Linked DNA regions of Drosophila melanogaster. The protein of the gene in region 1 interacts with the protein of each later gene in a pairwise test. Each region holds a gene or a part of one and is shown in the gene's direction. Other genes may lie near its edges.

Region 1 (3,928 bases):
GACCCTCAGGTTCTTTTCGTCATTGAAGAGCTTTATATTCTTGTCATCGAGGGCTGTGGAGCAAATGCTATTGCTCTTCTGTGGACTTTCGTGCGGGCTAATAGATTGATTGGTTATGACGGTGTCAATGGAATCGCTATTGGAGCTGACCACATACGGCAGGGCGGCATTGCGAGAGGCAGTCACCTTGCCAGTTCGAAGCACATTGCCCTCAGTGTCGATTGAGCAGTTCTGCTGCGGAATCACAATTTTTAATGGCGGCACTTTGAGTCCTCCGTTGTATAGGCTGTCGTTACTCTTGTAATCATCGCTGCACTCCGTTTCGTTCTCAATATCTACATTCTTACTAGTCTCCGCCGGCTCCTTTTCGGCATTGGAAGCGCTGCTTTTGTTTCCTGACGGGGATCCCTTCGTTGCAGCTAGCTTGGAGCTTTTCTCCACGCGCGATGTGAGCTTCAGGGAGGCCCCCTTCACGTCCTTTCCATGCTCCGAATCCTTGCGCTTCTTTTTCTTTACGTCCTCGCCAGATTCCTCGTAGTCCTCCTCTATGTCTGAGTAGCAGCGCTTGGCAGCCGAAGTTCCCTGATGATTCGTATCGCTGGATTTACCATCGTTGCTGCTCTCCTCCGCTGAAGATTTGTCTTTCGTGTCCAGGACCTCTTGCTTCTCATTCAGGCTGCCCTCGTCAGTCTCTGCGTCTCCTTTCTTGCATTCATTCTTCTTTAAGGTGGTGCGGGATGAATCTGCAAGAACGAGAATCTTATACATTACATTTGACGGCTGTGTGATTTAGTTTGGAAGATCATGTAGGAAGTAAAATGAAAGCTTATTGTCTATCGGATATCTTTTCGGGTGGAATTTGTAGTTATGTTTGAAGGAAAACCAACTAAAATGATTTTGTGTGAAAACTAAGAACTTAAGCATCGTTAAATGAGTTGTTTTTAATTTTGGTTTCTAAAGTATTAGCTCGGATAAGAGACAGGGTTTTTTTGACATCTTTACACATATTTCTTCAATAATAATTGGTATCTTCATTTGAATCAGTTAAATGACAATTTATCCGCAATCGAAACCAGTTTCTCGGATACTTTTACATTATTCCTGACTCTCAGATACATTTATGTATGTACATACGTAGATATGTACATGCATAGATGTATATGCGTGTAAGTATGTACGCAGCGAAGTACCCACGATGTAAATTGAAATTCAAGCCGACGAGCAAAAGTTCTAAGCTTTGTGACTGAACTATAAAATCCACTTGAATCATGTGAAAAGTAGACATTCACTTAATTATTTTGCTTATTTACCTGTCGACGAGTTGGCTGTCATTTGGATGAGCAGAGCCATTTGCTGCCTCTCCGACATTGGCGTGTTTGAGTTCGATCTGGGTTGGGTAGCTCCTGTATTAAATCCTATCCCCTTCGGTCTTGGGGGTGGCATACTCTTTTGTTCAGTTTTAGACGGTAAAAATTAAAATATAGAACAAAAACGGAGACTTGAAAAAGTCTTGCAAAATTTATTACAAAAAGAATAGTGCGACCGTATCGTGAATACAAAAATATGCCAGCTTGCTAATATAATAACGATGTTTTCAAATCCATTAAGTTAACAACAAATTAATTTATATATTATGTGTACAAATTTCAAGATACACCTTTAATTAGTTCCAAAAATTAAATTTTTTATTGAACTAAATCAATACCTGCTCCACCAAGGTATGTGCGTTTGTTGACCTCCAACATGTTATAGATGCTTACAAATAGCATGTTGCGCATTATTACTTTTAACTACTACTTTATTTATACTACATCTTAGCTATTATACGAAGTCTTATTGTTAGTCTACCCGATTTTTTCAGGAATTTTCATTTCTTTAGTTAGTGTTTCGATTCCACTGCGTTCTCCTCCCGACAGTGTGACCACTACTGCACAGTTGAAGAAAATCCTAGCTTGTCAAACACAATTCAACGCCCCGGCTACGGTCACACTCAGTTTTATTTTAGAAGTTTTGCAGTGTAAGATATTTTTATAGCAAATCTACGCACTATTTCGCTTATTTGAGGAGTTTGCAGAGCAAAACCGCTGGTAATAAGTTACAATATTTGAATGCACTGCGCGATAACTTGCATAATCATTTCCAACTGGATTTCGAACGACAAAATCCATTCACCCACACACAAACACATCTACTTGAGCTTATCTGTGTATGTACATATGTTGCACATAAATATAAGTGACTGCCACTTGAAGAAAAGTTTTTTACTGGAAAATATGATTCGTTTTACATAAATAATCAAGTCTAGTTGGAAAAGTGCTCGGCGGCAGCTCGTGTGGCAAAGTAAACACAAATGGAGGCCTAAGGCCTAAGTAATCGTTTAGCATGATAAATACTAAATACAATCTCTTAATGCCACTAACTTTTATGTTTAAGTGTTCATAGATATTATGTACAAAAAGTGACTCACTTTTTAATACACTGGAATTAGTGAGCTGGGGTGTTGTAACCCCATTTGCAATATTTATAATCTGACTATTCCAATCACAATATTTGGCGATCTTGATTAAGAATAAAGCTATTTTCTCGAAAATCAACTTACAATCTCATTTTACGCAATCTAGATTTCCGATTCGAAAGGCAAATGACTAAAGAAAACTATAATTTTGAATATGTTAGGGTACTAATAGCTTCGGTCTCTAAAAAACTATACAATTTATTTTAGTTGATGTAAGCAGCTACTTTTGCCATTCGTTTTTTGTTTATTGCATGACGCCAAGTGTAATTAACTTTCGCCCATAATTATAACCATAATAAACGAACTAAATGGCCTTAAACACTTTTTAACGAAGTGTCATGTTTATGTAAATCACACCGGCAATGTTGATAAATAATAAATAAAAGAAAGTTTTCAAAGCACAGTATTCGATATAAATCGAATATGCTTCCACCATTAGTTTCCAATTAGAAAACATAATTGAATGAACTGGAATTTGTTTGGCTTAAAAGTAAATTGAAGTTAACTTAATCCAGAAAGTTGATCCCTTACTTTTAATAGTTTCTGTAGTTTCTAAAAGTTATTGTTACAGCGAATGTAATAGCGCGGGCATTTTCGATTATCAACCACCTTTTTTAACGTGCATGCGCACTGCGAATTTTCTTTTTCATCGTATTGATTAACGCAGCTAGAATCGTTTAATATACGGTTAAAATGATTGTCTCCAAAGCTATCAAATCATACAGGATGTAAAACACATCAAATACCTCGATTAACACCTTTTAATTTTGATATCATTCATGTTGTTACACTTTCAGATGTCAGAGGGTTGTAGGAGCACTTACTAATCTGTATTTTGTATGTGTTTTGTAGACAGAAAATTGAGAAAATCGGCAAAATGACGCAAATGTCGCAGGACGAAATCATAACCAATACGAAAACAGTCCTTCAAGGCCTCGAAGCCTTGCGAGTGGAGCATGTTTCGATTATGAACGGAATCGCCGAGGTGCAGAAGGACAATGAAAAGTCGGACATGCTGCGAAAGAACATCGAGAACATCGAACTGGGCCTCAGCGAGGCCCAGGTGATGATGGCCCTGACATCCCATCTGCAGAACATCGAGGCCGAGAAGCACAAGCTTAAGACACAGGTGCGCCGCCTCCACCAGGAGAACGCCTGGCTTCGCGACGAGCTGGCCAACACTCAGCAAAAGTTCCAGGCATCCGAGCAGCTGGTGGCCCAACTAGAGGAGGAGAAGAAGCACCTGGAGTTCATGGCGTCCGTGAAGAAGTACGACGAGAATCAGGAGCAGGACGACGCTTGCGACAAGTCCCGCACCGATCCCGTGGTCGAGCTATTCCCGGACGAGGAAAACGAGGACAGACACAACATGTCGCCCACTCCGCCCAGCCAGTTCGCCAACCAGACTTCCGG
Region 2 (3,928 bases), 4.8 Mb from region 1:
TTTCCAGTTCCCATCGGTGGTTCTTCGGTTCCTCCTCCTGCTTTCAGGTGGCTTGTTAACTGTTTGCTCGGGCTGTTTAATCGCTTTAATGGTTAGGCAATTAAGAGTTCTTCGGAAAACGTCTCCGAATGCCAACTACTCCCTCTTCTTGTGCTGGAAATATTAATAAATTCTTTTGATATGCTCCGAAAGAAATTACATCCATTTCAGGTAACATGAGTAATACTTAGAACGAATAAAATATTCTTTTATGTGAAAAATATGGCAGGTTTGGTTGCATTACCTATTGGAAACTTAATTTTGGAATAGATTGATTGATCTAGATATATATAAAATGGGGTTTTTAAACCAAATTAATGATAAAAACACCAAAAGATTGATTAGTCTCGTTGCATTTTTCAGTTCTCCCTTGATTTATTTCATGCTAATCGTTTCATGGAAATGTGTTGAAAGACCGATTGACTCTTACGATAAATACAAAACCGTATGGTTAACATTATGAAAAACATTTTGCACCGCCGCCGCTGCCTGCAGATGGGGATTTGGACCACCAGAAGAGAAGTAATGATGATGATGATTCCATCCGCAGTTCATTCGCAACGTGTACAGAGCAGACATTTATAAAATGTCGTTTAAAAGCAGGCTAAATGCAGCAGCTACTCTGATCGCCACATTCGAATGTCAAAAACTCGGCGGCTTTTTTGGTGCTTAAAAACTAAATTCAATGCGGGTGTTGATGGCACACACACAAGCACACACCTGCTCCGGCGAAGCAACAACAACATTCGTGGCCGATTCATATGCTCATGCATGTGCTATGATCTTTGTTGTTGTTCCTGGGCAGAAGTGTCGCCGTGGCCAAAAAGTTTCTGTTTTTCTGCGTTCTATTCCTTGGACGCCATGTGTCCCACCAAGTTGCTGGTGATCTTCTCGATTTTTCTGAGATCCGGCATGTTCTCCGCTTTGTACTGCACACACTGTGGTTTAATGAAGTAAAAATTTAAAAATGTGTTTTGCACTGATAATGGAATTGGGTGCAAACCTTAACGTTGTCCGTCATTTTTAGCAGAATGTGGCCCTTGGAGTGCGCGTATTTCATGGTAAGTCGACAGTTCTGTGGATTGGCCAAGTACATGTTCTCGACGGCAATCTCGAAATCATCCCAGTTCTTTACAAAAACCATTTTTTATTTAAACAAATGGAAATCCAGGCGAAATTATTAAAAACAACAACAGCAACTGGACGGCGTGACGTTGAAGCTATCGAAAAAATACCAAACCAACAAGCCAAAACTATTCGATAACGAATAGCTCAACAGCTGAACACCCCATTGTGAATGTCTTAGTATTTTTCAAATATTTGCTGACGGTTTTTCAAACAAGGGCCTTTCTAAATTTAAACTTTACATAAATCGAAAATATTAGAAATAAATATAATTAATTTTAGTAAGTTACGGTGTAATAATTTGCTAAACATTACTTAAGTGCGACCGTAAAACACCTAGTTAAAAATACCACTTCGCCAATGCAAGGTGATCGGTATTTTCAGGGTAACACGTTCACACCCACCCACACATCGTAGCTGCGCTGCAAAGTGTTTCAATATTTATTGCAAAAATGGTGTGAAAAACCACTGATTCGCTTAAATTTAGTGCTCAATCGTAAGCAACGGATGGCCGCGAAGGCGTCGGCAGTGAAATTCGCGAGTAACATTGCTGAAAATACATCGAAAAGCAAACGCGAAAAACGATGAAATCTAGTCAATCAAATATTGTGAATGGATGTGAAAGAGAAGAAAGAGGGGCGCAAAACGAAAACGCAAATAATAAGTGACACGCAGAAGCCAGCTAAAGTGCAGTTTATTTAAATATACTAGAGATCTGTTCAAAATATAAATATAATCTCACAAATCATCAAAAAGTCAAGTGTCTGTGTGTGGTGTGTGCGTGTGTGTGGGAGTCTCTCTCTCTTTTTCTCCCTCTTTTCTTCCCCATCTACCGTGTTGTTATTCTGGTGGGGTTGAAAAGCCATTGCCTGCATAACGGTTAACGCGTGACGTACGACCCATCAACAGCAGTCAAGTGCAGCACCCTACCGCCCCTCGCCCTTCCTAAAGAGTAGAGAGCACACCTCCTTTATAAATAAAGAGATCCTCCGATCCACCCAAACACCATTCATCATGATGGACAACGATGATGCACTGCTCAACAATGGAGGACCACAGTCCGGAGCTGAAACTGTCTACGGTACCGAGGACAACAACATGGTCATGTCGGAGAAGGTAATAGTCCATCCACAAAAGCCCTCTTTCATCTTGTCCCACTGAGAAGTAACCAGATCACTCGGAATGGGAATAGTCTTAAGTTTCAATAGCAGTCCATTGATAGTTTATAGCCAGGAAAATTCACTGTGATACCATTGACTAATTTATACTATTCACTGAATCATACGGGCGTTTCTGATTCTCCCTTAAATTTGATAACGCACAATAAGTAGGTTTAATCTGTTCTGGTTCTCTGCTCCTTACCATCCACATTCAGACCCACTCGTATCGTACAAGTAACACAAACACGAGATAATGAGGCTATAAAAGTGTTCCAAGCGGAAATACAATCGCAGAAATATGCTTTCTTTGCACATCATTCTTGCTCTCTTCGTATCTCTTTCTTGTTTATATACCCTTAATTATGTAAAAACGCAGCCAACAATTGTTTATTATGCATCAGCTGACGTCTGTGGTCATTGACATTAAAGCTGGCGAAAAATAGTAGCCAAAAATGGGTAGAAAAAGAGAGTTAGAGAGCAAAAGAAGGGTAAGAAGCCGGGGACCAGAAATCAATAAAGTCAGTCAGTTGGCCCTCAAATTTTATGACCACCTCACGCAATATTCTGCAGAGAAAGAAATACCATGTCATAAATTTTGTTAAACATCTCTTATCTGATAAGCTATAGAAATTCTAGAACATCAAACACAATAATTATAGTTTTGGCGTTTATAATTATTTATAACCATAAAGTATAGGTATTTTTAGGTTCAACAACTTTTTCAAAATCAGTTCAATAAAATGGTATGACACCATAAAAGCTTATCGATTTTTATAGCCTTAAAACTCCATATATGTATATAGTATATTGGATTCCTCAACTGCCCCATCTACAGTCTGGTCTATTTTTAATTTTCACCCCAATTCCCCGATTGATTTTGCACTTTATCAGCTTCGCTAGCTTTAATCGGTCTATGCAAATCAAATCAGGGGGCCTTCCCTCTCAATTTCGTACTCATATAAGTGTTATTTCGCTATCCTCACCACGAAATGAGCTCATCAGGTTCCCCAATTCATAGTTCTTGGCGCACATGGGCGGCTGATAAGCTACCTGTTAATTGAGTAATGAGTTCAAACAGGCACTTTGAAGCGGGAAGCATTGCTGACACGCCGATAAAAACTTGTTTTTTAGCCCAACGAGCGCAGAAACCATTTGTGAAACAAGTCTGACCAAAAATGTTTGAATACTTTAGCTAGTTGGCCTTATAGGTTGGCCCAACCTTGGGCGGTTGACGGGTTTTTATTAGAGAATTACCGTCTCTTGCAATGTAAATGCCAAGAAATGCCGTGTAAAACTTAAAAACTAAATTAAACTCCAATTAAAATCATTTAAATACGTGAAAACGCATGGTATATCTTTTTATTTTATTATCTTATTTAACACATTTATCGTAAATAATTTTGCACCAACCTCACTCATTCATCATGTACTTATTCATAAGACGGGTTTTATTTGCACATTTTTCATTTAATCAATTTGTTGAAAATTTTGTTTTTTATGTGTCCTTTACACCATGTTTTTGTTCTTTTCTTTCTCTTTCAGAATGAACAGGTTGTCAGCATCGTGAGTTATCAAAATTTTTCGTTTGTGGTCTATTTATTTTC

What was found.
Region 2: the proteins of Klc (region 1) and syd interact in a two-hybrid assay, tested with the Drosophila melanogaster proteins (one study listed by BioGRID).

What each region holds. Positions count from the first base shown.
Region 1 is NT_037436.4:12,748,122-12,752,049, reverse strand, and holds the start of Klc (kinesin light chain), read left to right. Parts: upstream 1-1,993; 5' UTR 1,994-2,087; intron 2,088-2,210; exon of another isoform or gene 2,211-2,340; intron 2,341-3,151; exon of another isoform or gene 3,152-3,243; intron 3,244-3,367; 5' UTR 3,368-3,392; coding exon 3,393-3,928. Other genes in the region: CG10984 (uncharacterized protein), read right to left, coding at 1-743, 1,195-1,248, 1,311-1,443. UniProt on the Drosophila melanogaster protein: Kinesin is a microtubule-associated force-producing protein that may play a role in organelle transport. The light chain may function in coupling of cargo to the heavy chain or in the modulation of its ATPase activity.
Region 2 is NT_037436.4:7,933,730-7,937,657, reverse strand, and holds the start of syd (sunday driver), read left to right. Parts: upstream 1-1,537; 5' UTR 1,538-2,178; coding exon 2,179-2,280; intron 2,281-3,505; exon of another isoform or gene 3,506-3,670; coding exon of another isoform or gene 3,671-3,673; intron 3,674-3,866; coding exon 3,867-3,887; intron 3,888-3,928. Other genes in the region: Srp9 (signal recognition particle 9), read right to left, coding at 885-977, 1,043-1,183. UniProt on the Drosophila melanogaster protein: The JNK-interacting protein (JIP) group of scaffold proteins selectively mediates JNK-signaling by aggregating specific components of the MAPK cascade to form a functional JNK signaling module.